Macaca mulatta: one gene and its partners. The protein of the gene in region 1 purifies or fractionates together with the protein of each later gene. This does not show direct contact. Links are inferred from orthologs where the notes say so. Each region holds a gene or a part of one and is shown on either strand. Other genes may lie near its edges. The genes, in order: RBBP7, SAP30, ING1, PHF12, EZH1, CHD3 and ARID4B.

The links.
Region 2: the proteins of RBBP7 (region 1) and SAP30 purify together in Homo sapiens (affinity purification with mass spectrometry; 10 studies listed by BioGRID and IntAct, counting the BioPlex papers as one, with this or other methods). This does not show direct contact. The link is inferred for Macaca mulatta from reciprocal best matches to the Homo sapiens genes RBBP7 and SAP30.
Region 3: the proteins of RBBP7 (region 1) and ING1 purify together in Homo sapiens (affinity purification with mass spectrometry; 5 studies listed by BioGRID and IntAct, counting the BioPlex papers as one, with this or other methods). This does not show direct contact. The link is inferred for Macaca mulatta from reciprocal best matches to the Homo sapiens genes RBBP7 and ING1.
Region 4: the proteins of RBBP7 (region 1) and PHF12 purify together in Homo sapiens (affinity purification with mass spectrometry; 5 studies listed by BioGRID and IntAct, counting the BioPlex papers as one, with this or other methods). This does not show direct contact. The link is inferred for Macaca mulatta from reciprocal best matches to the Homo sapiens genes RBBP7 and PHF12.
Region 5: the proteins of RBBP7 (region 1) and EZH1 purify together in Homo sapiens (affinity purification with mass spectrometry; 4 studies listed by BioGRID and IntAct, with this or other methods). This does not show direct contact. The link is inferred for Macaca mulatta from reciprocal best matches to the Homo sapiens genes RBBP7 and EZH1.
Region 6: the proteins of RBBP7 (region 1) and CHD3 purify together in Homo sapiens (affinity purification with mass spectrometry; 6 studies listed by BioGRID and IntAct, counting the BioPlex papers as one, with this or other methods). This does not show direct contact. The link is inferred for Macaca mulatta from reciprocal best matches to the Homo sapiens genes RBBP7 and CHD3.
Region 7: the proteins of RBBP7 (region 1) and ARID4B purify together in Homo sapiens (affinity purification with mass spectrometry; 3 studies listed by BioGRID and IntAct, counting the BioPlex papers as one, with this or other methods). This does not show direct contact. The link is inferred for Macaca mulatta from reciprocal best matches to the Homo sapiens genes RBBP7 and ARID4B.

The regions. Positions count from the first base shown.
Region 1 is NC_133426.1:16,538,190-16,542,805, forward strand, and holds the start of RBBP7 (histone-binding protein RBBP7), read right to left. Parts: upstream 2,964-4,616; 5' UTR 2,619-2,963; coding exon 2,603-2,618; intron 2,550-2,602; exon of another isoform or gene 2,211-2,549; coding exon of another isoform or gene 2,063-2,210; intron 1,789-2,062; coding exon 1,644-1,788; intron 1-1,643. UniProt on the Homo sapiens protein: Core histone-binding subunit that may target chromatin remodeling factors, histone acetyltransferases and histone deacetylases to their histone substrates in a manner that is regulated by nucleosomal DNA.
Region 2 is NC_133410.1:181,805,411-181,809,931, reverse strand, and holds the end of SAP30 (histone deacetylase complex subunit SAP30), read right to left. Parts: intron 4,139-4,521; coding exon 4,040-4,138; intron 864-4,039; coding exon 741-863; 3' UTR 549-740; downstream 1-548. UniProt on the Homo sapiens protein: Involved in the functional recruitment of the Sin3-histone deacetylase complex (HDAC) to a specific subset of N-CoR corepressor complexes. Capable of transcription repression by N-CoR.
Region 3 is NC_133422.1:105,129,904-105,134,216, reverse strand, and holds the end of ING1 (inhibitor of growth protein 1), read right to left. Parts: intron 2,688-4,313; coding exon 1,984-2,687; 3' UTR 853-1,983; downstream 1-852. UniProt on the Homo sapiens protein: Cooperates with p53/TP53 in the negative regulatory pathway of cell growth by modulating p53-dependent transcriptional activation. Implicated as a tumor suppressor gene.
Region 4 is NC_133421.1:37,672,798-37,677,350, forward strand, and holds the start of PHF12 (PHD finger protein 12), read right to left. Parts: upstream 3,021-4,553; 5' UTR 2,948-3,020; coding exon 2,810-2,947; intron 2,807-2,809; exon of another isoform or gene 2,298-2,806; coding exon of another isoform or gene 2,232-2,297; intron 2,032-2,231; exon of another isoform or gene 1,872-2,031; intron 1,583-1,871; coding exon 1,401-1,582; exon of another isoform or gene 1,347-1,400; intron 145-1,346; exon of another isoform or gene 144-144; coding exon of another isoform or gene 91-143; intron 1-90.
Region 5 is NC_133421.1:67,059,840-67,063,816, forward strand, and holds part of EZH1 (histone-lysine N-methyltransferase EZH1), read right to left. Parts: intron 3,146-3,977; coding exon 3,054-3,145; coding exon of another isoform or gene 3,048-3,053; intron 2,105-3,047; coding exon 2,064-2,104; intron 1,236-2,063; coding exon 1,110-1,235; intron 1-1,109.
Region 6 is NC_133421.1:9,412,757-9,416,733, forward strand, and holds part of CHD3 (chromodomain-helicase-DNA-binding protein 3), read left to right. Parts: intron 1-101; coding exon 102-187; intron 188-337; coding exon 338-471; intron 472-603; exon of another isoform or gene 604-742; intron 743-1,032; coding exon 1,033-1,177; intron 1,178-1,348; coding exon 1,349-1,511; intron 1,512-1,605; coding exon 1,606-1,727; intron 1,728-1,832; coding exon 1,833-1,968; intron 1,969-2,080; coding exon 2,081-2,182; intron 2,183-2,369; coding exon of another isoform or gene 2,370-2,372; coding exon 2,373-2,498; intron 2,499-2,890; coding exon 2,891-2,999; intron 3,000-3,190; coding exon 3,191-3,323; intron 3,324-3,640; coding exon 3,641-3,836; coding exon of another isoform or gene 3,837-3,882; intron 3,883-3,977.
Region 7 is NC_133406.1:13,890,389-13,894,365, reverse strand, and holds part of ARID4B (AT-rich interactive domain-containing protein 4B), read right to left. Parts: intron 796-3,977; coding exon 682-795; intron 1-681. UniProt on the Homo sapiens protein: Acts as a transcriptional repressor. May function in the assembly and/or enzymatic activity of the Sin3A corepressor complex or in mediating interactions between the complex and other regulatory complexes.

The DNA of each region.
Region 1 (4,616 bases):
TTGAATACCCCTGGGCATACGATGCTTAATCTAGTTTTTAATCTGTTCAAAGGTGACTGTAAACGTCAATGCTTCCAAGTGTCCATCACTTAGTTCTTCTCTACTCTTCCCACATCTGTACATTTACATTTAGATTTTTGGGAAGCCCAGTGGAAATTCCTATCTGTATGGAAATCAATGTTTGCATATGGAGAACCTAGCCATTGTAAGAGCAGTTTTATATACAATTAGATTATTATTGTAATTATTATTTTTATTTTTAAGAGATAGAGTCTTGCTCTCGCTCAGGCCGGAGTGCAGTAGTGCGGTCTTGGCTCACTGCAACCTCCGCCTCCCAGGTTCAAGCAATTCTTCTGCCTCAGCCTCCCTGTAGCTGAGACTACAGGCACACGCTGCCACGCCCGGCTAATTTTTTTTTTTTTTTGTATTTTAGTAGAGACAGGGTTTCACCGTGTTGCCTGGGCTGGTTTCGAACTCCTGAGCTCAGGCAATCCACCTGCCTCGGCCTCCCAAAGTGCTAGGATTACAGGCGTGAGCCACCGCGCCCAGCCAAAATTAGCTTATTATTTTTATAACTTGTTGCAAAATCCTCTTTTTAGGTTAGAGTTTCATTTAATCCTCTTTAAATTATATGCCCACAACACTCAAATTTAAGATGCTTTTTTGTTGTTTCTTTGGAAGACAGGGTCTCTCTCTGTTGGCTAAGCTGGAATGCAGTGGCGCAATCATGGCTCACTGCAGCCTTGAACTCCTGAGCTCAAGCTAACCTTCCAAAGCGCTAGGATTACAGGAGTATAAGCCACTGTGCCTGGCCCCATATTTAATACACTTTAAAAGTACATGGTCAAGTTCCTACTAGAAAAGGTTCAAGTGAATGAGAAAGGCAGACTAACGCAGGGACCAGCTGTGTGATCTTGGGATGGCACTTAAACGCTCACTCCCAGTTCCCCTATCAGTAAAACAAGGATAATGAAAATTACCTACAGCATAGTACTACTGTGAGGATTACAACAAGACGTAGATTCTTCAGCTGTGCCAGGCCCTGTTGAGTGCTCAATAAATGCCAGCAATTATTACCAGAGAAACTGTAGATCTAACAGAAAAGAATACTCTTATGAAGACTAACGGCAATCTCAAAGTGTATTCCATAAGCCAATAACATCTTTTCTTTAGTCAATTGTTGACAAGGTCTTTTTGCCTTTACCAATTAAAATGTATTTATCTTGGGTGACTGTTACGTGTGTTCACTTTGCAAAAATTTATGAAGCCATACAACACTTATGATGTGTGAACTTTTCTGTAAATATTCTCTTTTTCAATAAAGTTTTAAAGAAACGCATTAGTTTGGGCCCAGAGAGATGCTGCTCTACATTCGAGCCCAGGAACTGTCAAATACATTCAGTGTTTCCTCCAAATACCATTAATCTCACAACGGATTCTTTCTCCCCTTTTACCACCACACTATACGCCAGAAATCATCCCATAAATCACGTTAAGTTTTGAAAATAAAAACCACCTGCCACCCCATGCAAGGGCTGATTACATACTTATGTTCTAGGTATAAAACGCCAAAACTAGGAAATTCAGAACGACAGTTAAATTTAAGCAAAAAAAAAAAAAAAAAAGTTGCCAGAAACCCTTACTTAGTCACTTCAGGAAGCCACTGAACGGTAAGACTGGGCCACTGAAGAGCATGGGTCATAACCAGGTCATACAGAAACGGTGTATTCTTCTTCCAGATTTTATATTCTTCATTGATGACACGCTCCTCCACAGTATCTTCAAACACTGAAATTTGGAGAAAGCCCACACAATTAAGTGGCTGAGATGGATCGAAGTCAGAAATTGGAGGTCACCTCAAGATGGCCACACCTCATGTACTCTTTCCTTTTACCTCTAATTTGGACACGGACAACTAACTGCTCTTCCAGAAGGTGAAGAAAATACTACCAACCACGAAGCCTCTTTTTTTCCGTTGAGATCAATACCCTCTGCGTATACCATGTTGGGTAGTCAATTACACGGACATGGAAATTGTTTACCCTGTTACAGCTGTTCGCACCTGTTCTAAGATGACGACCTGTACGTACAGGGGCTGCGCGACCCACTCGGGAAGATAACTGCACGTGTACCAGAAGCCCACAGGCCTGGTCCCTCCAATCCCCATCAGGGGAGGCCCCAGCTCCCACGACACCCGCCTCGGCAGCCATAGGCCTGAGGGCTCCAGCAACCCCCGGACAAGGGCCGCGACCCCGAGGCGGTCAACGCGCGCGCGTAGAAGGAGCCGCGGCGTTCGCTTCCCGGCGGCGGCGGCCGCCTCCGCCCCGGGGCCGAGGGCGCCGGAGGGAGCGCAGCCTCTGGAGGAGGGAAGAGAAGAGAGGGGCCCAGCCCTCGGCCCCGCGCCCGGCTCCGGAAGTGCTCGGAGCCCTCGGCACGGCGGTCCCGTCCCGCGCAGGCCCCTCGAGGCGCGCGCCCAGCCTCGCGCCCGGCCCCGCCCCCTGCTCCGCACGCCAATTCGCGCCTTTCGCCGGCGCGTGCCGCGGCCTCGCGCGCCCGCCGCCCCCCGCGGCCCCGGCGCGCGCCGCCCCGCAGGGCCTCTTACTCTCTTTACTCGCCATCTTGCGTCGGGTCGTTCGCCCCTCGCCGCCGCCTCGGACTCCCCTCGTTAGCCAAGAGCAGCCCGACCACTGGCGCTCCTGCCTTTCCCAAACGCGTCACACACTCCCCGCGGTCGAAAGCCCGGGCCCAGTCTTGCTGCCTGGGTGCTCCCCAGACGCCGCGTCCTTGTTTCCTGCCTCCTCCCCGCTCGCGGGTACCGAGGTCTGAGGCGCTCTTCTCTCTCTCTCCAAACTTGGAACGAGACTTTTCAACCCGCGCCTCCCAGCCCGCCCAGGCAGCTAAGCGCAGGCGCATCCGCCCTGGGAAAAGTGAGAGGAGGCGGAGAGGCGGGTCTGGGAGCCAACGGCTCCAGCGCCGCGACCAATGACGCGCGGCGGGCGGGTTTCACGCGGCGTTCGGAGGCGGGCTTCTGGGGGTGGGCGGAGCGTGCCGCGGCAGGAAGTTGGCGATGCGCAGGCGCGAGGGCTCGCCCGGTGCTCCCAGGGCCGGCCGCGGGGGCGGATGGGGGCCGCGGGGGCGGGGCGGATGAGGGCCCGAGGGGGCGGGGCGGATGGGGGCGCGCGAGGGTGGGGTGGATGGAGGCGCGGCTGGCCGGCTGAGCGGGGGCCGCGAGCCCCGGGGCGGCTAGCCTTGGGGCCCGCGGGGCGTGGTTGCTGGTAGCGGCAGCGGTGGTGGGGGTGAGAGGGGGGCAGGGAGGCTGCTGCCGCTTAGCCAAGCAAAATCTCAGAGCAAGAGGGGAAAATGGTTCCTGTTCTCGAGAGATTACTGTGCCTTCAAAGTCTCCCTGATAATCACGGACATGCAATTCTCTGCACCCCTGAAATGTTCTCCTCCAGCCGACTGGCCTTTCCTGGGGCCCGGTCGGGCCGAGGTGGGGCTGGTCTCAGAGGGAAGAGAGCTTCTGGAGAGGCCGCGGGCGTTTTTTGCCTGCAAAAGCCGCCGGGCCGCCTTGTTAGGCTAAATGTGCAGCCTGTAGCGGCACAGGCCGCCGGCGGGCCGAAACCGATTTACATTGTTACATTTTAATTTGTTCGATGTTTGGGTCCTTAAGATGATGGTTTGAGGCCTCTTCGTGCTTCAGGGGATTTTGTTCCAGCACTGGCATTCCTTTCGCATCCCAGCCCCGGCCCCTGCTGAGTCATTTTTGTCACCTGCAGGGGTCCCAGGGCGACCCCACCCCAAGCTGGCGGAGCTGGAGAGAGCAGGGCTGAACTGCCCTGGGCCTGCTTACCTGAGCCATGCTCTGCTCGGGAACTTCATAGCCCCTGGGGAGTGTATCGGGGGAGGAGAAAACTGGCTGCAAGGCCAAAAGGGGAATAAAAGAAAATGAGGGCCAGGAGCAGAGGGGACGGAGTTGGGGGAGGCGACCAAGGTGCCTGCGTGCAAAGGGAACCGAAGTGTACGTCCAGCTCCGAGAGAGGCTCCTCTTGCAAAAGCACCCCCGGAACATTTGCTGCCTTGATACCTTTCCAAGTGCCTTCATGCTCAGATGCTATCTTGCAGATGCCGCTGTCATGCCCACTTTTCTGACCGGGACGCAAACCCAGACGTTAGTCAGTGGCAGAACCAGTCACACATTCCCTTCTGTAGATATTTACTGTCTTGTTTCCGATACAATACAGTTCATTATTATAACGCCCTCCCCCTATGCCGGGTCAAAGAATCTTGTTAGTGCCTAAGGCTGAGGGGGTGGCTGGAGAGGGAAAAGAGTTGGAAGGGTGTTTAAGCAATACAGCCCTCATATTCTAGGACGCTGGTTGGCAAGACTTTTTCTAACAGGACCGAGATAGTAAATATTTTAGGCTTCGGGGGCAACTGCTCGACTCTGTCGCGTTGTAGCGCAAAGCAGCCGTGGAAAATGTGGATACATTTGGCCGTGTTCCAATAAAACTACAGACACTGAAATCGTTTTCAGGGTCACAAAATCTTTTTTTCAACCGCTTGAAAACGGAAAAACCATTCTCAGCTCGAGGGCCATACAAAAACGTGGTGGGTTA
Region 2 (4,521 bases), on another chromosome or scaffold:
AAAAATTAAGGGGCATAGCAGAGGTACTTTCTGTATTCATGCCACATAAATATCTTTTCCCAAAGACAAAATTTTCAAAAACAGCTATTTCATTTCATGTTCTTATTTCGACTTTCAGCATTGTGTTTATCTTCACTGGCACATTAAGTTGTCTTTGGAACGAGGTGGGTATATAAATTAAACCATTTGTTCTTCCTAGTACTTCATCAAGTAATAATAACAAAAAAAAAAAGGAAATAAAAAAGAAGTTGTATTCCAATAGAAGCTTATTTTTCAAATTTGCTAGCATTATAAAGCACTTAAAAAAAATAATGCTATTTAAAATATCTTCAATTCCAAGTCAGATTGTCCCAGAGAATGCAAATGTGCTACATTTGTTACTTCTCCTTACCCTGTTAATTTCTTGGAAGTTTACAAAAAAAAAAAAAAGGGGGTTATAAAATGAAGGACTTTACATTAAAATATCAATACTGATCTCTAAGTCAGTTTAAAAGAAAAATCAAGTTTCACAAAATAAATACACTGAAGCAACTATAATAGTAATAACCTTTATTTAAAATAGTTTTTAATTTAGGAAAGCTCATTTTACATGAGTTTCCAACTAATTATTAGAGTCAGAAACAAAGAAAATAAAATCAGAGAAAATCCTCTGTAGAAAAAATACACAAAGAACATTTCTACATGTGAAAAAACAGTAAACAGTGTTATCATCCAAGTTATTAGTCTCAATTCCACGTCTCCTAGTGAACACCACTATCAACCTTGACATCTGATTTGTTCTTGTCATTCTTCACTGAGTAGATGAAATATGTTAAGGTGTCTTTTTCATTCACTGGAATAGACCTAAAGTGGCAACCAACTATCTATAAAGAAAAAAAAAAAAATTAAGGAAATTAAATTTTAGATATAACAGGTTTCATAAACTAGGTAAAAAATACGGTTTCATCCAAAGAAAAAATCTATGTGATAAGAGCTATTTCCTTTAAAAATTATATTTAAGAAAATACCAACAGGACAAAAAGCATTTAAGAATAAAATGTTATGAACAAGAGATAATGTGATTTCAAAGGACCTTTTGGCTCACTCAATTTACTATACATTGATTAGAAAATACATTTTCCTTTTATTTATTTTAAATTTTATAATTGGGCCAGGAGTGGTGGCTCACACCTGTAATCCCAGCACTTTGGGAGGCGGAGGTAGGGGGATCACTTGAGCCCAGGAGTTCAAGACCAGCCTGCGCAACATGACAAAACCCCATCTCTACCAAAAAAAAATACAAAAATTAAGTAGGCGTGGTGGTGTACACCTGTAATCCTAGCTATTCAGAAGGCTGAGATGGGAGGATTGCTTGAACCCAGAAGGTGGAGGTTGCAGTGAGCTGAGATCACGCCACTGGACTCCAGCCTGGGTGACAGAGCAAGACTCTGTCTCAAAAAAGATAAATAAGATAAAAATAATAAATTTTATAATTGGAATCTAGAGTAGGGAATACATGTTTTTACTTTTAAACTTTAAATGAGATAAAACAGATGTAAGAGACCACATGCATCATTAAACCTGCAATGGTTTAGACCCTACTGATAGAAAAAGAAGTATGAAGTTGAAAACTTTTGGTAGTAATCAACAATAACATATAAATTATTTGCTGCAAATTACATTCATTCATTCGTATCTTGGTAGCATTCTTTGGTTAAGGTTCCTTGAAAATTTTTCTGAATAAAAATTGTGAATGGAAATGAGAGGAGAAAGAGGGATGTTCAATGAAGGATGTTTACCTGCTTCCTTGCCTTTTCATTGTGCTAATGTAATATGCATACTACAATTACGAATAGAAGATTAATAGACTTACCTGAGGTGCTGACAAGCATATTTAGATTCCAGAAAATAGAATTTCTTAAGAAAAAAGTTCATCCACACAACAATTACGAGACTTAAGACTTAGTCATACAACCCTGGAATCCCTTAAAACAGTGGTCCCCAACCTTTTTGGCACCAGAGATCGATTTCACGGAAGGCAATTTTTGCACAGATTGGGGGTGGGGGAGTTGGTTTTGGTATGAAATTGTTCCACCTCAGATCATCAGGCATTAGATTCTTATAACAAGCGTACAACCTAGATCCCTCACATGTGCACTTCACACGTGGTTTTGGACTCCTGTGAGAATCTAATGCTACGGCTGATCTGACAGGAGGCGGAGCTCAGGCAGTAATTCTTGCTAGCTGGTGCTCACCTCCTGCTCTGTGGACCTGTTCCTAACAGGCCATCAACCAGTACCAGTCCATGGCCCCGGGGTTGGGGACCCCTGTCTTAAAATATATGTACTACATCTGCACATTTCCACATTCCTTAACCTGTTAATAACTGCATTTCTGATTAAGTAAAATATAACACTCATGGCTATCTCTTATGTATAAAAAAGAAAATAGCTCTAGAAATAATATAACTGTTCTTAGAAGGTCAGTTTATCAAAAATTTCAGGTTTAATTTATACCTAAATGTAACATTTAAAATAATTAGTTCTTTGGTTCTCATTTGTTCCAAAACAGGGGTGCCTTCACTCCATTAGTACCTACTGAAATATTTCATCATGGTGGGCAAGATCTATATTTACGTTACATAATGTATTGTACAACCCCAAAAGAACTTGATCTTTTAAATCAAAATTAAAGAAAAATTAATTAGATCCGTGTTGCCTAACCAAGGATAAGAAATTTTAGCTAAATAGTTAATGTATTAGATTTTAACAATGTTAAAAAGCGTTCCATCAGATAAATGTAACTTCTATTCATATTTCATTTTATTCAATGAAATGTTGTACATTTTAGAAAATGTTGGGTAACTACTAAATCCATGCAAAGAATATGAGAAAACCGATTTATATATCTACACTTCTATTTTGTCTAGTAGGCTAAATTTTCTTTTTTAGAGATGGAGTGTTGCTATGTTGCCCATGGTGACTCAAACTCCTAGGATTAATCAATCCTCCTGAGTAGCTGCAAGCAAAAATTTTAAATATGATTAAAATATAAATATATCAATCTATAAGCATCTTAATAAGATGCACAGACTTCTTGGTTCTATTATATCCTGAGAACATATGCATACTCCATTAACTTTCACAACTCACTGACTAACTAGAAGTCCTCTGTCAAAGCAAACTACAAGTAAAAGATTGGGTAAAAGAAAAGCTTTTGCCTCTTCTAGATGTGAAGAAAACATAGATGTCTCTAATAAAACTAACATCAACAAGGACCAATTTTGAAATAGTTAAGTCAGCAAATTATAAAAATACTGTTTAGGGGCTGATTTGTAGGCCTACTCCACCACTTTAAAATATAAATTTTAATAAGGACATTAAAGCTTGCTAATTAAATTTATTATGCCTCAATTAGATGCTCAAACATTTACTGGTTAAATGGAGTTTTAAAACTAATAGATTTCTAAAGTGAGGATTAAAAAAAACTCTCATTCAACATTTTGAGGGCCAGGCACGGTGGCTCACACTGCTGATCCCAGCACTCTGGTAGGCTGAGGTGGGCGGATCACTTGAAGTCAGGAATTTGAGACAAGTCTGGCCAACATGGTGAAACCCCATCTCTACTAAAGATATTACACAAAAATCAGCCTGGTGTGGTGGTGCACACCTGAAGTCCCAGCTGCTTGGGAGGCTGAGGCTGGAGAATTGCTTGAACCTGGGAGGTAGAGGTTGCCATGAGCCGAGATCGTGCCACTGCACTCCAGCCTGGGTGACAGAGCGAGACTTTGTCTCAAAAAACAAACAACACATTTTGAAAGCCAGTATCAGAAGGTGCTGTACACAACCTGCTGAGTAGTCATTACAAAAAGGAATTTCCTAAGTGGCTGACAAACATTTCTAGACAACTAGATTCTTCCACAATAGATTTTTTAACATTGTTCTTTCTAAATAAAATGTACTGTTAAATGTACTGTTACATATACTACATTAATACTTTCATTAGCATTTAACAGCCTCTCGGTTGTGCATAGTTCAAATAGTTTAAAAATCATATATACCTCAACAAGCTGTGCTTTATTAAGTCCTGGTCTGGTTGGTAGCTTGAAGTGTCTTTTGTATCTCCTAAGTGTATTTACTTGTAATTGGTATAAATCAACCTAGAAAAAATTAACATGCATAAATTAGTTCATACAATTTGTGGAAAATTTATCATCGATATGTATAATAACAAACATTTTAACTTCAGCACAATAAAAATTTACTTCCAAAATCAAAAAAATTATTTAAAAAATTTACATAATCAAACCTATAAATTATTAAACAGTTTAATCTTTTGGGGATTAATAATATAAACTGAGGTCAAAAAAGAGTAAGTTATGTGACAACAGAGCCGCAAAAATTGTCAATTTAAAATGTAACAATTCAAACTGTGTAAATGCATGACAACTGGCTATATTTAATTTTGCTTTCATTTTCAGATTTCTCAAATGTTTTAAACACTTAAAAGATTGTTCATATCTTTTTATAAAGGTTTCAGAAT
Region 3 (4,313 bases), on another chromosome or scaffold:
AGAAACTGATTTTACCACGTACGAAGTTAAAGTGAACCATGCGTCACTTAGGGTGTGGTGGCTCACGCCTGTCATCCCAGCACTTTGGGAGGCCGAGGCGTGTGGATCACGGTCAAGAGATCGAGACCATACTGGCCAACATGGTGAAACCCCATCTCTACTAAAAATACAAAAATTAGCTGGGCATGGTGGCACGCACCTGTAGTCCCAGCTACTCAGGAGACTGAGGCAGGAGAATCGCTTGAGCCCGAGAGGCGGAGGTTGCAGAGAGCCAATATCACGCCATTGCACTCCAGGTTGGAGACAGGGCGAGACTCTATCTCAAAAAAAAAAAAAGAAAGAAATTAAAACTCCGGCCAGGCGTGGTGGCTCACACCTGTAATCTCAGCACTTTGGAAGGCCGAGGTGAGTGGATCACCTGAGGTCGGGAGTTCGAGACCAGCCATGACCACCATGGAGAAACTGTGTTCTCTACTAAAAATACAAAATTAGCCGGGCGTAGCGGCAGGTGCCTGTAGTCCCAGCTACTCAGGAGGCTGAGGCAGGACAATCACTTGAACCTGGGAGGCGGAGGTTGCAGTGAGCGAAGATCGCGCTATTGCACTCCAGCCTGGAACAAGAGCGAAACTCCGTCTCAAAAAAATAAAAAACAAATGAAAACTCCACTGACCCTTTCAATATGTGGGCAGATCAATGTTAGATGCCAGTTTAAATCAGAGGTCAGCAAACTCTTTCTGCAGAGGGCCTGAAAATAGTTTTGGCTTGTCAACTCAAAAGGTCTCAGTTGCAACTAATGAACTCTGCCATTTTGCAAAAGCATCCACAGACAATACATACGCACATAAGCACAGCTCTGTTCCACCGAAACTTTATTTATGGACACTAGAATTTAAACTCCATATAATGTTCAAACAAGTGGTGGACTGGACTTGACAAGTGGGCAGTAATTTCCTGACCCAGGGTCTGAATACAGATTCTGTTTTGACACATATTTATTTGCTGGCAATTAGGTAACTTCATTATTAATAAGTGAGAACAATAATACAAAATTTACTTAAGGCTTCGTCTAAACTGCTGGTGTATAAATTTTTAAGACAAATTTTAAAAGTTACTTATGTCAAAATTAAATATACTACTAGAGGAACAAACTGGCCAAGTTTCATTTATTTCTTCACGTAACATTTTTACAGCTCACATACAGCAGGAAGCACACCTTTGCACATAATTGTGACATTAGCTTCACAACAGCATCTGCTGACTGCACTTCCAATCATAATATAGCAAGTGCAAGTTCACTTGGAAATGTACATTTATACACCTGATATAAATTAAAGATGGCTACACTATGATTCGTGATAGCAAAAGCATGACTTGAGGTTCCTTGACTAGACCGCTTGTTTAAGAGAAGTGTACCCAAGCATTTTAAAATGGCCATTTGGGGAACAGGCCAAAATATAAAATATCTATCATGTAAAATTTAACCATTTACCTTTTTAAAAAATAATCTTCAAACTTGAAACCTTTGTTACTGAATTGTTATATGGATATACATCATGGCAGCAAGAACCACATTTACTATAGGCTGTATTTTTGGCGACCGGCCAATTAAAAAAATTTGTTCATAAAGTAATATTACTTTTATTAAAAAAAAGCTAAATGAAGTATTTTCCTTCCACATTTAATGTGTTAGGTTGAGTTTAGTCCCCCTCCTCCCACAAGAAATCAGTCTGAGACTTAAGTGTTTAATCAAACCTATATTTGTAGTTTCTAAAATGCTGATCCACAGACCACTTTCTTGTTACACGTGTACCAATGAAAACAAAAGGCAAACAGAATCACTGCCATCCCTATGAAAGGAATGGTTCCTTTTCTAACATTCTTTAAAAATATACATTTTACACTCCCTGCACCTCAACAAAGGCGGCAATGTAATAAATACACGGTTTATTTTGTCCTCCTCACTACCAGGCGCCTGTCCACAAACTACCTGTTGTAAGCCCTCTCTTTTTTGGATTTCTCCAGGGCTTTGTCCATGGTCTTCTCGTTCTCCCCCCGGCACTTGGGACAGTACCACTTGCCCTTGGGTTTATGATTGAGCCCCACGCACGAGAAGTGGAACCACTCGATGGGACACTCGTCGTTGTCACAGCCGATCATCTCCCCGTAGGAGACCTGGTTGCACAGACAATACGTGGGTTCGTTGGGGTCGATGGGGAGGTCGGCAGGGGACGCCTCCCGCTCCGCCTTGGCCTTGGAGCGCTTCTTCTTCTTGGAGGTCTTGGCCTTCTTCTCCTTGGGTGTGCCCGAGGCGCTGTCCTCGTGGTCGTGGTTGCTGGACGCGTTCTCGCGGTTCTCGTTGTTGCGCTGCCTTCGCGAGCGCTTACTGTTGGGCTTCTCAGCCTGCGCTGCCGCCTCGCCTTTGGGCCTGTCCGCGCCAGCCTTGCCGCTGTTGCCCGCTGTGTCGCCCAGCTCCTGCTGCGCCTCGAACAGCTCCACGTGGCTGTCCACTTGCCGCGTGCGGTTCTCCACCAGCTCCACCATCTGGCTCACGATCTGGATCTTCTCATCGCCCAGCTCCTGGCTGCGGATCAGCGCGCGCTGTACACAGTGCAGCATCCGCCGCTTCTGCGCCCCGTCCGTCTCGCGGCTAAAGCGCTCGTAGTACTCGTCCAGCTCCTTCAAGATCTCTGGGGGCAAGAAGGACAGGCATCACTCGCGAGCAGGACATCGGGACAACCCACACGGCCCCGGACCCGGGTCTACGGAGAGGGCTGGCAGGGGGCCCAGGGGCCAGCGCACGGCTTGCCCAGCCCACCAGCCACAGGCCCTCCAGGGCCTCTCTGTTCCTGTGCCCTGGAACTAAATGCAAATGCCAGAAGAGCTCCCACAGGAAGAGGAGCCGCTCCAGCCATCCCAGAGAGAACCACAGAACAGTTCCTACGCACGGGTGACAATGCCCGAAGCCATTAAGAGGAAACATTTAAATGAAGTGCAGTGCTCGGGACCCAACCTGTATTAATACTTTCTATTAATGATTATGTCCTATACTGCCATCATTTTTACTCAAATGTTTCTATTTGAATGCAATTATTAATATACATATAACGTTATATATAAACATGGTATTTATTACATTATACACAATATACAAACGATAAAATATAAATTATTTGAATATTTCAAATAAAAAAGGTCTCTATTTTAACATACCAACATCTAGAATATCCTGTTAAATTAGAGAACGTGTATAAATTTATATAATAGCTCTCTATGATTTAAAGAACCGGGTTAACAGCAAAGGTCCAGGCTACTTTGTGTTAGGTCCTCAGTTTCAGTCCCCACATTTATTCTAGCATGTTATTCCTCTGTATTAGTGAAAGCAAGAACAGTTCTGCCACAATAATCCAGAAAAACCTAGCTTTGCTTTATTATTATTATGACTGTTGTTATTATTATTTTAGGGGCAAGGTCTGTCTCTGTCGCCCAGGCTGGAGTGCAGTGGTGCAATCTCGGCTCACTGCAGCCTCGACCTCCCAGGCTCAAGTGACCCTCCCACCTCAGCCTCCTGAGTAGCTAGGACTACAGGAGCACAACTGTAATGGGTCATTATTATTATTTTTTAACTGCAGTGAATGTACTAGCCTTGCTTTAAAACAAAGCTGGTAGATTTTACTTTTGCATCTACTGCTTAAACAAAAACATCTTCACATCTATTAAAGTCAATGGACTTTAAAATGCCATCAAAAAGAAAAGAAAACCTCTTCAGTATTTAAATATAAAACTTCTTGGGCATGTTAGAGGACAGTGCATATGATTTTAAAGTGTAATTAGGCAATTTCTCAAGAAACAAAAGCTGTTAAAAAAATCTAGTTGAGGCCGGGCGCGGTGGCTCAAGCCTGTAATCCCAGCACTTTGGGAGGCCGAGACGGGCGGATCACGAGGTCAGGAGATCGAGACCATCCTGGCTAACACAATGAAACCCCGTCTCCACTAAAAATACAAAAAAAATTAGCCGGGCGTGGTGGCGGCGCCTGTAGTCCCAGCTACTCGGGAGGCTGAGGCAGGAGAATGGCGGGAACCCGGGAGGCGGAGCTTGCAGTGAGCCAAGATCGCGCCACTGCACTCCAGCCTGGGCGACAGAGCGAGACTCCGTCTCAAAAAAAAAAAAAAAAAAAAAAAAAAAAAAAAAAAAAATCTAGTTGAAATAAGGGCAGTAAACAGTCTTGCCAAAAGGCTACTCACAAAGAAATTCCAGAGCTCTTTTTCCTCAAACAATAACCATTAAATTAAACAGTACCAGATTATTCTCCTAA
Region 4 (4,553 bases), on another chromosome or scaffold:
AATTAGTACAAATATATAGTAGACACAACTCCGCAAACCGAGCGATGGAACGTGAATGGAACCGTTAAGAGACCTTCGGTGAAATTTCACATAAAAAAAAAAACAAAACAAAAACAAAAACAGAGGGCTAAAAAAGGCAACATCAAAAAACTGGTGGGAACACAGAAACAGCCCCCTCTTCCTTTCTCCCGACTGGCTCCTCTCTCAAACCTCTGCCTCAGTCAACTGTTGCAGAACAACAGAACGAGACCCAGTAGAACAAGACGAAATCTGGGTTTGCTGCCGCAGATGTGGGATTTTTGTGGAGGGCAGAGGTGATTTCTGCCGGCAGAAGATGGAGTTTAAACTCTTCTTTGCCGGATTGTTCTGGGCTGAGCCGCTGAGGAGGATCACGCAGCGGGCGATCAACCCACGTCCCTCCCTCTCGGTTCGGTTTCTCCCCTCCCCTCGTGTCCAGTAAGGGGGAAAAAAGCGTACGGCTTTCCAGCTCTCAGTTCCTTAAAAATGCCTTTCCAATGCCACCGCACACAATCCTCCCCCTGGCAGCAAAGAATTTTGCAGCGAAGGGCTCGCCGATCCGGAGCGGAGAAATAAAATCGGCGCCCAAGGGCAATTTTAATTGTCTAACCCGGCCCGATTTCCTAAGAGGCAGTGGCGCCGGGAGGGAGGAGGGAAGAGGGAGGAGGAAGGAAGGCAGCTCTGAGAGGCAACAGAGGGCAAGCGGAGGTAGAGAAAGGGGACCAAAGCGGCGAGATCCCAGCCTGGGCCCCTGAGGAGCTTCTGCAGAAAGGACTCGGGGGCTGTCCCCACCGTTCCCCGGGAGACGTTTGCAAATCATATATGCAGCCAAAATGGCGCTGAGAATAAAAATATAATTTAAAGGCAGGTCGCCATATTGTAAACAGAGAGGCAAGGAAGAGGCGGACTCGAGAGACACCCTCCATGATTTCTTCTACAGCCACAAGCGCCCGGTTGCCGGGGTCTGGACCACTGCAATTCAGGTGGCCGAGGGCTCTACGCACCCACCCCAAGGAGAGCCCGGCCGGGCAGGAGCCCCGAGGGCAGCGGGCGCGCGGGCAGGCAAGCGGCGCTGGGCCCGGAGCTCCTCCCCTTCCTCCCCCGCCACTGCCGGCTGTCCCCGGCCGGCTCTGTCCCGGCTCCCCAGCGACTTCCAATCCCATATGGGGTTCTCTTCACTCCTCCCAACCCCCACCTCGGGGTCCGGACCCACCGCTGCTCCTCCCCCCTAAACTGCCAGAACCCGGCGGACACCTGGGGGCGGGGAGGTGCTCGCCCGGGCAGCTGCAGAAAGTCAGCTAGCGGCTGCAAGCGCCCGTTATTTCGGCAGGCAGGGGCAGGCCGGGTGAAGGAATGCGCAGAGAAGGGTCCCCGGACCTTACCAGCACTGGAGGTGGAAGGCAGCCGGGCAGTGGTCGCAGCACAGGAGATCTCCACCTTCCTTGCAGCTATCACAGCTGTCGTGGTTGGTGGCCCTGCCGCTTCTCCGGGGCTCCTTCTCAGGCTTCCGACTCCGCTTTTCTGCCTCGTCCGTCTTGGGGGGGGCCAGCAGAGCTTGGATTTGCTGCACACACATACAAACGGCGTGTGTGCACACTCGGAGCTCCCGGGCGGTCCGTCGCCCCCCCGGCGCGGCTTCTCCGTCACCCACCCCTCTCCCCCCTTTTGTCCTTCTTCCTCCCATCCAGGCTGCTCCCAGAACCTCTCAGCCCCCGGAACCAGGGGGAGCCCACCCTAACCGCGTTCCTGCAGCACAAGAACGAGAACAGCTTCTTCCAAATGGGGAGGATCAAGGGTAGGGGGATGGGAAGAGGGTGCGCGGTTCCCTTCTTGGCCACTTCCTTGTATGGACAGTGGGGGACTCCAAAGCCTGGCTCTGGAGAGGCCCGAAGCCCGGTACCCGGACGTGCTGGGGGAAGCACAAAGGGGCCAACAAGAAGGGGGTGGGGAGGCCTGCCGGTGCAACGAGATGGAGTGGGCTGGCGCCTGGGGAGAGCGAATCGAGGGCGGCGGGTAGGTGAAACTGCTGCAAACGTCCTCGGAGGCTGAGCTCAGCCCCCTAAATTGCAAAGAGGGGAGGGAGAGGCTAAGTGAGGAAGAATCCCCCTCCCTCGGTTCTCTGGGCGCTTCGAGTTTAGGACCGGCTTTGTGGGGCGGAGGGCGGAGGTTCCCTCCCGGCGCTGGGGGAAGGGGATGAGGAGGGCCACTCTTACCTCCATCAGCCCCCCTGATGTGTCCAAGTCGTACACGATCGTCTTGGTCTCCATTTTCTCCCACATTCATCCACCTCCCGGGCTGGGTGCTCTCTGCTCCGGCCCCCCCAACCCCGGGGGGAGGGGGGAGGTGGGGGTAGGGGGCGCTCCTGACCCCGGTCCCGCTTCTTTTTTCCCAACACGGGTCCCGACTTCCTCGCCCTGGCTCCCCCCCACCCCCCGGCCCCCAGTCCCCGGGACGACAGCGTCCTCCCGACGGGCCGCGAGGGGGGAGCAGCCCCTCAGTCCCGGCCCGGCTGCTGGCTGCACAGTGGGTCCTGGCTCCAGGGGTCAGGCCTCGGCAGGGCCTAGTCCCACAGGCTAAAGCCGGCACTGGCGACCGCCGGTCCGGCCGGGAAGGCTGGCGGGCGCTGCCATCCCGGGGCTGGGGGTATCGGACGGGGGGGGGTAAGAGGTTAGGTGAGGTTGTGGTACGTGAGGTGACTGGGGGGAGGGTGATGGGGGGTGGTCCCCGGGCTCCGCCTCTCGCCGCCGCCGCCGTCTGCGTCCCGGCTGCCGCGCACTTGGCGCAAACTTACCGCGAGCGCCCGCAAAGCCACCCGCGCAGGCGCCCCGGGATCGGCGCTCGCCGCGCGCAACCGCAGTGACAGCCGGCGGCCTGGCTCCCGCGCAGCCGCGGTGAGGGAGTACCCCCCAGCGCGCAGCCGCGCTGGCATTCGTCTGGAGGACCGAAGCCCCACCTTTCTGCCGTGCGCCAGCGCACTGAGACAAAAGGGCGGGACCTGAGGGCTCGCGCAGGCGCTTGGGAAAGCTTGTAGGGGTCAAGGCGCAGCCGCAGGAAGCCAGGGACTCTTCATCCATTGGTGTTTGTGTGCAAACTAAGAAGACTCCGTCCTGCGCAGGCGTGTTGGGAGTGCTCCCCTCCCACTCCGTAACACAGAAGCCTCCCGCGCAGGCGTATTGTCTTCCGCAGGCCCTCACAAGAAGGCTGCTACTTTCGCCATTTTGGTAATGGGATATGGGCTATCATGCCCTTGGAGTCCTCAGGCATGAACAGAAAGGAACAAGGTGTGGTGTTGGATGGAGCTGGTCGCCTGTCGGTGACAGCAGTGTTCCTAGGGATGTTGTACTGGACTGTTCGGTTCTAGCATCAGGTGTGGCTGGACCAGGCCACCATATTGGTAAAGAGAAAAGCCATTTGCGACAGAAAATGACGCTTTTGGTGGCGTGTTGGATGACTGTGGTTCCTAATTCTCTCCCGTCCTGACAGTTAATTTTATCAGTTAATTGTATCCTGAGCATCCCTGCCTTGCGTGGTGGTGGCACTGTGGAGAGTTCCGCCTGCCCGTTACCACCCTCTCTTCACCACTGTCCCTGAGATCTGCTCTTCAAGAGGAAGCCTAAAGCGGAGAGTTTGTAATCCTGACAACGCCCAGCTACCTGCGTACCCCGGACTCCAACTCCCAGATTGCAATGCCAAAGGGTCTAAAGGGCGAACGGGGGGGGGGGGCGGTCCATTGCACCCTGGGAGCAAGAATCGCGATAGGGCTGATGGATTGTGGGAGCTGTAGTTCCATGTGCGTGCGATGCACTCTATGGTAGGATAGACCCAGGGAAGAGTCATTTGCCGGCCAGGAAGGGATACTTTTGAGAGCGTCAGTGCTGCATGCCGGGATTTGTAGTCTGAGGGCCCGCCTCACGTTCTGGGCGGGGATTCATGCTCCTTTTCAGGGCGCCAGCTCCTCCCCTTGGTATCGCCGTCAGAGATGGGCGGTTATTGCTGCCTGAGGGTGGATGAAGCAGTGGAGAAGAGAACTGCATCGTTGTGCTTGACACTAAGGGTTTAGTTGGAGTTGTTGCTTCGTAACTGTGCTCGGCCCACTTTTTAAAATTTTTATTATTTATTTATTTTTTTTTGAGACGGAGTCTCACTCTGTCGCCCAGGCTGGAGTGCAGTGGCCGGATCTCAGCTCACTGCAAGCTCCGCCTCCCGGGTTCACGCCATTCTCCTGCCTCAGCCTCCCGAGTAGCTGGGACTACAGGCGCCCACCACCTCGCCCGGCTAGTTTTTTGTATTTTTTAGTAGAGACGGGGTTTCACCGTGTTAGCCAGGATGGTCTCGATCTCCTGACCTCGTGATCCGCCCGTCTCGGCCTCCCAAAGTGCTGGGATTACAGGCTTGAGCCACCGCGCCCGGCCTACTCGGCCCACTTTTAATGTTAAGGGACCCTTAGCATTCTCAGAGTCGTAAAGCTAGAAAGGATTTAGAGACCATCTGATTTAATCCCCTCGTTTCTAGATGCACACGGAGGAGCAGTGATC
Region 5 (3,977 bases), on another chromosome or scaffold:
GTCACCATCAAAACAAGTATCATTTTGAGAACAGAATGCATCCGTTCTGTGCCATCCTTCTCCACCCACTGCCCAACCCAGCACAACCACTTCTCTGCTGCGGCTAAGATCACTATCTGCTATGGGTTAGGAGGTATTTCCTCCAGCAAAACCGCCTGGGCACCAAGTTCTGCAAGCTCTGGGGACTGCCATCAAACTGCTCAGCTTTGAGTTGGGAAGGGCATAGTGGGATAAGAAGTGAAAGATAAGTACCCGGATGTCTCTGCTGACATCCAGGCCCCGTCTTCTACCTGATATTAAAACTCCAGCTATTAAATGAAAATAGACATACACAGAATCACAAACAGAAAATATCTGAATTAAAAAAAAATTTAAACAGTATCCAGAAAAGGGAAACTGGGGCTGTAACTTAAAAAAAAAAAGAATCTCACATTTCTTTTCTTTTTGAGACAGAGTCTCGTCCTGTTGCCCAGGCTGGAGTGCAGTGGCACAATCTTGGCTCACTGTAGCCTCTGCCCCCTGGGTTCAAGCGATTCTTGTGCCTCAGCCTCCCAAGTAGCTGGGACTACAGGCATGCACCACCATGTCTGGCTAATTTTTGTATTTTTAGTAGAGATGGGGTTTTGCCATGTTGGCCAGGCTGGTCTTGACTCCTGACCTCAAGTGATCTGCCCGCCCAAAGTGCTGGGATTATAGGCAAGAGCCACCACGCCTGGCCTAATTTTTTTTATTTTTAGTAGAGATGGGGTTTTGCCATGTTGGCCAGGCTAGTGTTGAACTCCTGACCTCAGGTGATCTGCCCACCCAAAATGCTGGGATTACAGGCGTGAGTGGCTGTGCCTGCTGGCCCCCCTCATTTCTTAATTCTCCCCTAGAAGACAAAGTTGGGAAGGTATCTGATTTCTGCTTTTACAATCATGAACCTAAACGTTTTCCAGAAATGACTCTTGCAGATCTCATGCACTTATTTCATTTGTAGAATCCCTAAAACACAGCAAAGAGACTATCAGAAGGCTCATAAGTAGTAAAGGGCACAGGAATGGGGCAAGCCTAGGGCACACTGGTGCCGACTGTTTTGGTAGACTATAGGGAAGACGCAGCACACTTACAGTCTGGGTTGCACTGGCAGAACTTCTCACAGAAATTCTGAGTCATGATGCAGGGGCAGGTGCTGTCACAGGGGCGGTCTGGGTGGTCACAGGGTTGGTAGTTGTACACTTGTGTGGAAGAGTTATCTAGGAGAGAGAACAGAGGAAGACGCTGCTGTGACCGTACGCTCCAGCTATCTTCCCTCCCAAGTGTCCAGCTGCCCTGATTCAGAGGAGGCTGGTCCTAACAATCTTCTTGGACACACATTTAGCACCTGAAGTGAGAAGACAGGGATGACTGTTATTCATAACCTGCAATGGGGTGGTCTGCTTTGTGGGGAGGATGTGGAGATGCTACAGAGAAGTATCTAGAAGTGGTGTCAGCTTCTTCCTTTGACAGGTGATAGGGAAGCTATTCTAAACATTAAATGAGGTCTGGAACCTAGCAAATGGCACACTAGAAAAGTCACAGACTGGCCAGGCACAGTGGCTCATGCCTGTAATCCCAGCACTTTGCGAGGCCAAGGCAGGTGGATCATTTGAGGTCAGGAGTTTGAGACCAGCCGGGCCAACATGGTGAAACCCCATCTCTACTAAAAATACAAAAATTAGCCGGGAGTGGTGGTACATGCCTGTAATCCCAGCTACTCGGGAAGCTGAGGCAGGAGAATTGCTTGAACCTGGGAGGCGGAGGTTGCAGTGAGCCGAGATTGTGCCACTGCACTCCAGCCTGGGTGACACAGCAAGGCTCCATCTCAAAAAAAAAGAAAAATCACCGATCACAAGGCCCCTAATGCTACCTCCTAAGAGGTCTTCTCAGTTGCAGTGAGAGGCTGAGCTGTTCTCAGTTGCTGCAGAGAATTCTGCAATCTGCGGAAGTGGCACAGGGTCAACAAGTGCAGCTGTGGGGTAGGGTGATGACCATAGGGTGAAGCCTCCAACTGAACTGCTGAAGAATGCCCTGGTAGAACTTACCTTTCTTCAGCTGAATCTTCCTGCAGTGTGCAGCCCACAATCTGAAAAAGACAGGAAGAATAAGTCTCAGTCACGGCTCTAGGGAGCTCTGTAAATGCAGGTAAATGACAACGTGACTTGCTCTGAGGGACTGTGTTTGATGACTGGGGAGTATCTTCCCAAACCCCTCAACAAGACGACTTTGGTACACAGAAGCAAGAGTCCAGCCTAAATCCAGCTGGCCTGTGCTACAAGATTTAAACTTAAACACACCCCTCCCAAACGACCAAATAACATAAAAGAACACAACACAGAAACAAAAGAAAGCCCAAGCCTATCGGTCTATTATAAAGCTATTGTTTGTCTCCCCATCTCTCCCTTTGTCTTTGTGGAGGTGGAGATATGGGGGAGTTTCAAGATGGGGAGGTGGGAAGGCCTTTCAGGAATCTTCTCCCAAAGAACTGAAAGGGAGGAGTCACAGGGATTTCCTTCTGTATCTAGAAGTGGTGTCAGCTCCTTCCTCTGATAGGTGATAGTCATTAGGGAACAGAGCCAGGGTACACAATTTTTAAAAAAAAACTTCTAACCTAAGTAAAGGCTAGCTAGAAGACAGTGTTATTATGTAACTCAGAAAAACAACACGAACCAAACAAATAAATAAACTCTGGTCAGAGTTGAGAAATGGGTAAGGTGGTAACTAAACCAACAAGGAGAAATGGCTTCGGAGTGGAGCCATGAAGCCAGCTCATGTCCTATTGGCCAGGAGCTTAAACAGAAAAACAGCCAGTTATGTCATGGTCCACAGCACCTGGGGACAAGCAGAGGGCTGATCCAAGGCACAGACCCTTGGGGAGCACTCAGGAGGCTGGCTCTCAGTCATGTGATGCCAAGCTGATGGGCTTACACAGCCTGTGTGGTTGCTAAAGAGGGAGGCAGATGGGAACTCCAAGGGGAGGTCAGAGCACAGGGAACAGCCTGGCTGTAAAACAAAACACTTTGTCCAACCCTTGCCTGTGCTTTCTTTTCTTCTTCTGTGAGGGGTTCATGAGCTCATCTGTTGGCAGCTTCAGGATAAGTGATTCTTTGACTGCAAACTGAAAGACCTGGAAGAGAAATCCAACAGGGCCTGTCACTCCTCGAGCAAGGGGGTCAGGTAAGTGGCCCAACTGGGTGCTGGTCTTGGGAGGGTTCTGAGGAACCCTCAGAACAAGAGGCTGACTGAGCCTCTTGTCAGTCAGGGAGAGACAGAGTGCCATTGGGAGATTGGGTCACTGGCTCTGAAGTTCATTCCTAATTATTTATCCTGACTCAGGAAAGGAGAAATACTGAGCACAGTAACACACCCCTGGCCAGAAGCTGTCACCTACTCTTTCTACCAAGCCACGGGTAGAAGAGCGGGCTGATTGTGACCAATAGTATCTTCTTTTTAGGAAGGGTAACTCTGTGCCTTGTGTAACTGAGTGTAAGGCAGGACAGGACAGAACAGGAATGGTTTCAGTGGGCTAAATATTAGCTCCCTCTGTTGGTACAAATATGCCAGAGCTTTGGCCATTTCAATAGGATGCGTTTTTTCTCTTAAAGCACTGGTTTTTAGTTTTTCCTTTTCTTTGTTGGGGCTATTGGCCCTTTGGGGGGATCTTTGAAAACTGTAAATATTCTCAGGAAAATACAGACAAGAATATTTTTGCATACAAATCCATAGATGGTTACATTGAGAACCTGTGACTCAGGGAAATAGGTATGAGCTCCAAAATGAAAGCAAAGGGCACTTCAGCTTATGGTTCTTTTTTTTTTTTTTTTTTTTAGAGAGAGGGTCTCACACTCTTGGCCAGGTTAGAGTGCAGTGGTGCCATCATAGCTCACTGTAGTCTAGAACTCCTGGGCTCAAGCCATCTTCCCACCTCAGCCTCCTGAGTACTAGGACTACAGGTGCAT
Region 6 (3,977 bases), on another chromosome or scaffold:
AATGTTCCTGTGTTCTGTATCTTGTGGGAATGGGGTGCTAAGGAGGACTGAGGCTTAGAGGAGGTGGTGGATCAGCTAATTGATGTCATCCCCACTCTCAGGGCGTAGACAGTCAAAGAGGCAGCTCCGGAATGAGAAAGATAAGCCACTGCCTCCACTGCTGGCCCGAGTCGGGGGCAACATTGAGGTGAGAGCTGGGCCCAGTGTTCGTGAGTTCTCCAAGGAGAGCATGAGGGCAGAAGGTTGGAAATTGGGGCCTGGATCACTGAGGGTAGAAAGGACAAGACCTAAGAACCCTGGACATTTGTCGCCATTGCCTCCTTGCCCCCACCCTCAGGTGCTGGGCTTCAATACCCGTCAGCGGAAGGCTTTCCTCAATGCCGTGATGCGCTGGGGGATGCCACCACAGGATGCCTTCACCACGCAGTGGCTGGTGCGGGACCTGAGGGGCAAGACTGAGAAGGAGTTTAAGTGAGTGTGGGTGATACAGGGCTGAGTTGGACGCAAGGGTAAGAGCTTTGGGTGTTCCATTCTTCCTTGGGGCCGCCATATGATGTGACCTTACTCAACTGATTGTCACCCTCCCTGCCATACAACGCTTCCTGGCTCGATTTCCTGGGGGGTGGTCTCAGCCCACCCCACCTCCCCTCAGCCGAGCCTAGAGTAGAGGGGCCAGGCATTCTCCCCAGGGGAGAGGTGTTGAAGCAAGGAACCTCTCCTGGGCTGTCCTAGCCTCACATTTACTTGGCCACAATCACCTGGCAGGAGGAGCTGGTGGAAAGGATGAAGAGCTGACTGATGGGGCCCAGGAATTAAGTACCAAGGCCAAGGGGATAGGCCAGGGATGGGGCGCAGGGGCACGGTTAGGACTTGGAGGGCTGGTAATGGTGAGAGTGAGAGGCCCAGGGGAGGAGCCCTGGAGCATCTGGGGATTTGGGGACTTGGGGGTCCTCAGTCATCCTTGCATCTTCCTCACTGCCCTATACCCCTTCTGTGGCTTCCCTAACCGTCCTCCCACCCCATGCTTCTTAGGGCCTATGTATCTTTGTTCATGCGCCATCTGTGTGAGCCTGGGGCAGACGGCTCTGAAACCTTTGCCGATGGGGTCCCTCGGGAGGGACTGAGTCGCCAGCAGGTGTTGACCCGCATTGGAGTCATGTCTCTCGTCAAGAAGAAGGTATCAGTCTTCCTCTCACCCAAAAAATCAAGCTGGCTGCCTAGTCTCTGTCCTTCCTCTGCCTCTGTCCCTGAGTTGTAAGCTCGCGCTGGTGTGAGACGGAGGAGACTGGAGTTTCCTGTCTGTATGTCTGTAAGTGCCTGGAGCTGACACCTGTCCTTCCCACCCCAGGTGCAGGAGTTTGAGCACATCAATGGGCGTTGGTCAATGCCGGAACTGATGCCCGACCCCAGCGCTGACTCTAAGCGCTCCTCCAGAGCCTCCTCTCCTACCAAAACGTCTCCCACCACTCCTGAGGCTTCTGCTACCAACAGTCCCTGCACCTCTAAACCTGGTAATCAGAAATCAGGATGGTGGGAGAGACAGAAAGGGAGCCAGGAGTCGGGGCAAGAGAACCTCTGTCTTTATCACTGTGCCTTCCCCTGCAGCTACTCCAGCTCCAAGTGAGAAAGGAGAAGGCATAAGGACTCCTCTTGAGAAGGAGGAAGCTGAAAACCAGGAGGAGAAGCCAGAGAAGAACAGCAGAATTGGGGAGAAGATGGACACAGAGGTGTGTGGCTCCCTGGATTCCCCTGTGGAGTGGGAGGGGAGGGGGCTTGGAGGCCAGATGCCTGGGAGCCCTCCAGCTCATCCTGACCCCATTGTCCTCTTACAGGTTGATGCCCCCAGCCCAGCCCCATCACTCGGGGAGCGGCTGGAGCCAAGGAAGATTCCTCTAGAGGATGAGGTGCCAGGGGTACCTGGAGAGATGGAGCTTGAACCTGGGTACCGTGGGGACAGAGAGAAGTCAGGTGGGTGCATGGCCTTAGGAGTGATGGGGGATTAGAATTTGGGATGTCCCTCTTCTGGGGTCAGAGGATGAGGGTAACATCCTCCCTTCCTATCCCCTACCCCCTCCCACAGCCACAGAGTCGACGCCAGGAGAAAGGGGGGAGGAGAAGCCGATGGATGGACAGGAACACAGGGAGAGGCCGGAGGGGGAAGCAGGGGATTTGGGCAAGAGAGGTAATGGGTGGAAGGACCGGACACCTGGGTCCCTGAGGGCATCAGGGGAGGTGGAGTCTGGGGAACCAAATGCTTGGGTCCTGGGCGGGTAGCTGTTTGAAAGGCCAGGACAGCACAGTACAGATAGTAGTCTTGGGACCTGGGAGGAGGGTGTCCTGAGGTGTGAGCTTTCACCTGTCTGTCCTAGCAGAAGATGTAAAAGGTGACCGGGAGCTTCGACCAGGGCCTCGAGATGAGCCACGGTCCAATGGGCGACGAGAGGAAAAGACAGAGAAGCCCCGGTTCATGTTCAATATCGCAGATGGTGGCTTCACAGGTTGGGGAGACTCTCGCTGCTTTCTGCTCCTCAAGGGGATCTGCTCATCCTCATGGGGTTTCTCGTTTTGCCTGAGGCTTCCTGCTACCTTTAATTCCAAGTAACTTCCAATGAAGTATGTTGCATGCTGACTCCGATCCTTGCTCTAAATCTTTCTTAAGTATCCCTCTTAACTCCAAAGCTGGCTCTAATCCCACCTTTATTCTTAATTCTAACTCGAACCTGGTTAGTAACGGAGTTTGTTCCGAACTCCTAACCTAACCTTTACCCATTCCTCTTCAGGAGCCCTTAGTTCCCTTTCATTATTCAGTTTCCCCATCTGTACCTGTCTGTTGGACTGAGTGCAGTCTGCAAACCCTTGTTGCTTCTTCTGTCTGCTGCCGCCTTTGCAGAGCTTCACACACTGTGGCAGAATGAGGAACGGGCAGCTATTTCCTCAGGCAAACTCAATGAGATCTGGCACAGAAGACACGACTACTGGCTTCTGGCTGGGATTGTCCTGTATCCTTTGACACACGTGCAAGAAGGAAAAGGTTCTCTCAAGCTGGAAAAAAAAAAAAAAGGATGATGATTTCACACCCAGGGACAGGGCTACTGCCACACTTTGGGGAGTCAGGCCAAAAGGAAGAAGTGTTCAAAGCCAAGCCCATTCCTGTTAAATTCCTTGATGGTTCCCTTTCCTTCATTGGTAGCCATGGCTATGCACGGTGGCAGGACATCCAGAATGATGCTCAATTTGCCATTATCAACGAGCCATTTAAAACTGAAGCCAATAAGGGGAACTTTCTGGAGATGAAAAATAAGTTCCTGGCCCGGAGGTTCAAGGTGGGAATGAGGGAGGACAGGAACGGGTTTTAGACGGGCTTGGGTCAGAAGTGAGGCCAGATCTAGTTGGAACCTAGGGAAGGTTAACACCTTCAGGGCTGAGGTGATGCTTGGAGCCAAGACCAAAGTGTAACCTTGTGCTTGGGAGTGTGGTCTGGGTCAGGGTTGATGCTAGGTTCGCAGTTGGTTTGGAGCTAGGAGTGCTCTGGGCCAGCAGTGAGGGCAGGGTGGGTCTCCTGCTATGTCCAGTCCCCCCACCCGCCACTCACTCACTGCTGGCAGAGCCCTGCCTTCACCTCCCAACCCTGTGCCCTCAGCTCCTGGAGCAGGCGCTGGTGATTGAGGAGCAGCTGCGGCGGGCGGCCTACCTGAACCTGTCGCAGGAGCCGGCGCACCCCGCCATGGCCCTCCACGCCCGCTTCGCCGAGGCCGAGTGCCTGGCCGAGAGCCACCAGCACCTCTCCAAGGAGTCGCTGGCGGGGAACAAGCCGGCCAACGCCGTCCTGCACAAGGGTAAGGGCCGCGGCGGCCCCGCGCGGGGGAGGGCCCACAACGCTGCGTAAGTCTTCACCCCGCACCCCTCAAAATCTTCCCACCCCCTGACCCCTCTACCCTCTGAACCACCCCCCTCTGACCTCTAACCCCACCCCTACC
Region 7 (3,977 bases), on another chromosome or scaffold:
TAATATAGGGTACCAAAGATAAATGTCGTAGACTGAGTTGTTGGAATTACAGTTCTAAAGGTATCTTGATTGTTACACTTCTATGCTGATTTTGCCTTGAAGAATTACTAAGCGATCAATTTCACTGTAATAAAAACACACAGTTGAAATATTTCACAATGTGTGATACATTTTATAGCAAGTGAAAATAACTGTGGAACACAAAGGTAACAAATATGTTGATGTTTATAGTATATTGGCTACTATTTCAAAAACAGATTACTTGATTTTTCATCAGCAATCAATACCACCGCTGAATAATACCAACTTGCTTAAAACTAGAATTTACCTAAGATTAGAAAACCTGTGGGGTTTTTTGCAGAAATTCTTTATTATTATTATTATACTTTAAGTTCTAGGGTACATGTGCACAACGTGTAGGTTTGTTACATAGGTATACATGTGCCATGTTGGTTTGCTGCACCCATCAACTCATCATTAACATTAGGTATTTCTCCTAATGCATGTTTTTTTTTTTCTTTTTAAAGCAAGTAGCCTTACAGAATCTGTGTGACTTTTTTTGAGTGTACAGACAAAATCAAAATAATGTACTATCCCATATCCTGAATACCATTTTCTTACTGGGGAGAAAATTATCAGCTATTATTTTTATATTTTAAAAATTAGATATTTCACACTTACTGCCTTTTCCCTTCTTTTTGTTGTTTACCACTGTTGCTTTATGGCTTCTTTTCTGCTTTTTTGATGAACTTCCTCCTCCCTGAGCATCTTTCACTCTTTTCTGACCTGTACAGGCTATGAAGTGAAAGGGATTAAGTAACACAAAATAAAATCCAACATTTCCTAGGTATAAATTAATTTCACATTTTAGAAGCATAGAACAATCCAAACTACATGTTCTTTATGACATTTATAAATTGTCACAGAAATTACAAGTTTTTAATAAACTGTCATTAATGGAGTCTGAATTCTTGTACATAATAAAAGTCAGGGTTTTAAAAAAGGGAAATAAAGTATGCACATCCTTCTTTAAAAAATCAGATCTAAATTGAAAATAGTCCTTAATATAGTACTGGGAGTTTATGAGCCTAGTAATTAAAAAACAAGCATATGCTGAAAATAAAAACTGAAATTTGTTAAGATTCAATAAAACCAAAATATAAAGACTTAATCACAGGTTAAAATGTTAATGACATTATGTCTTATATTAACATAATTTTTAAAATGATATAATGATATTAATGGGGTAAATTTTAGCAGTAACTCACACTTGGTTTTTTTTTAACCAATTTATTTCAAAAATAACTAAGCTCCCAGGACGCTGTCTGGTTAACACACATACCATTTACAAATTCAACATAGTAGTTCTAAAAAGTGTCTCATCTTCTTGGTGGGAAATTATTGCAAAACATTACAAATAAATGTCTCCCTTTTCTTCAAGGACTAGCCCAAGTCCTACATCTTCACTAAGATGTTCCAGGCTTCACTGATGAATCACTTCTCTCAACTGTAGCATTTTTCTATTCCTTAGCATCTGCTATACTTCTGTCTAATTCATATATGTTATCTCTCAGACTGTATAAAATAAGCTTTTTTTCTCCAGAGACTAATAAAGTACTATCTCCATTCAGTTCCAATGTCAGACACTAAATCAACCTTCTGTGTATAAAACCTAACTTCCTTGGTCAAAAACAGGACAAGTAATTAACTGTCTGCAACTTCCTTTTTTAAAAATAGGTCATATAATCTTACTTATAACTTTTCCTAATACCTTTTTAAATTTTTAATATTTATTTCTTTTTTATTTTTTACACCAAGTATGTGAACCCACCTAAAGTCATTTTAATATAACAATTTAAGTGAAACACAAAGGAGACGTAGATATTGACCATACTGAGGCACAGAGTCATAATTGTCAGGTTTCTCTCCAAAAGAGTTGAATTCTAAAGTGCTCAGATGCTAAGAAATAAAAACCTTCAATGTAGAGTAAATTAAGAGGAAAAAACTACATCTAAATAGCAAAACTTACGTTTTAACTTGTGATATAGTGGGGACTCTCCAATATTCATAGTAAGTAAATGTATTAAAATGTGGCCATGTGAAATAGGTGCTTAAGAATTTATTTCTGGTAGGGCGTGGTGGCTCATGCCTGTAATTCCAGCTCTTTGGGAGGCTGAGGTAGGTGGATTACCTGACGTCAGGAGTTCAAGACCAGCCTGGCCAACATGGTGAAACCCCATTTCTACTAAACGAAATACAAAAATTAGCTGGGCACTAATCCCAGATACTCAGCAGGCTGAGGCTGGAGAATCTCTTGAACCTGGGAGGCGGAGGTTGCAGTGAGCCAAGACTGCACCACTGCATTCCAGCCTGGGCAACAAGAGCAAAACTCTATCTCAAAAGAACAAAAAATAAAACAAAAAAACAATTATTTCTAAAAAGATATAAGTTACCCTAAATTTAGGAGTAGCTTTCAAATTCCATAATTACTAACCTAGTCAAGATTAAGATTCAAAACGGCAGCGTTGTTAGCCAGGATGGTCTCGACCTCCTGATCTTGTGATCCGCCCGTCTCCACCTCCCAAAGTGCTGGGATTACAGGCTTGAGCCACCGCGCCCAGCTGTCTCTTTTTCGTTAATTTTAATCTTTTGTAAGATATTAGGAACATATAATGAGGATACAACCTCTCAAAAACTGTAACAATAGTTTGGGCCTGGTGGCTCACACCTATAATCCTAGCACTTCGGGAGGCTGAGGCAGGCGGATGATGAGGTCAGGAGATCAAGACCATCCTGGCTAACATGGTGAAACCCCATCTCTACTAAAAATACAAAAAATTAGCTGGGCATGGTGGCACATGCCTGTAGTCCCAGCTACTCAGGAGGCTGAGGCAGGGGAATTGCTTGAACCCAGGAGGCGGAGGTTGCAGAGAGCCCAGATCACACCACTGCACTCCAGCCTGGGCGACAGAGCAAGACTCCATCTCAAAAAAAAAAAAAAAAAAAAAAAAAACCCAAAAAACCTGTAACAGTAAAACCTGTTTTTTTCTTTCCTTTTTTTTTTTGAGATAGGGTCTTGTTTTATCACCTAGGCTGGAGTGCAGTGGCGTGATCTTGGCTCACTGCAGCCTTCCCAGGATCAAGTGATTCTCCCACCTCAGCCCCCAAGGTAGCTGGGACTACAGGCATGTGCCACCACAGCTCGCTAATGTTTGTATGTTTGGTAGAGATGGGGTTTTGCCATGTTGTCCAGGCTGGTCTTGAACTCCTGGACTCAAGCTATCCACCACCTTGACCTCCCAAATTGCTGGGATTACAGGCGTGGTGACCACACCTGGTCAGTAAAATTTTATTGTTGAAAGCCTGTCTAATATTCTGAAATAAAGGATTCTTTCATTTTGAAAATTAGTCATGTTTGGATAGTTCAGTTCCATGAGATAGTATGGCACAGATAAAATCATAGTAGTTACACTTATAAATGTGAAAAAAGCAAAGAACATTTCAATTTAATTGCAAGTATATTTTTAATTTATTTTAAAACAGAGATGTTTTAAGTCAAGATTCCTTAGAAAACACAGAATTAACTAATTTGATCTAGACCATATCTCTTTTAAGCTCTGCTAAAAACCTAAAGCTAGCATTCTAAAATCTTTTATGGTATATAAAAAACATACCCTAGTGCTCTGCTCTGTCTTTACAATGGAAAAGTGTGTTCCAAAGCCAGGTGTCAGCCTAGAGTATACTGATTTAAAGCTACCTGAATGAAGTGGTTTATAAGAAAAATGATGACAGAAGTATGGCTATGGCACCATCGAAAGGCACTAATACTTTGGGAAGGTACCGATTTGAATTTCCACTTTTAACAATTTCACGGAAAATCAAAAAGTATTACTGTAGGTTATTAACGTACACATTGGTCCTTCAATTTGGAAGCTATGCATCTAAGAAAGCATCAAATTCCTTTACAAACTCACACA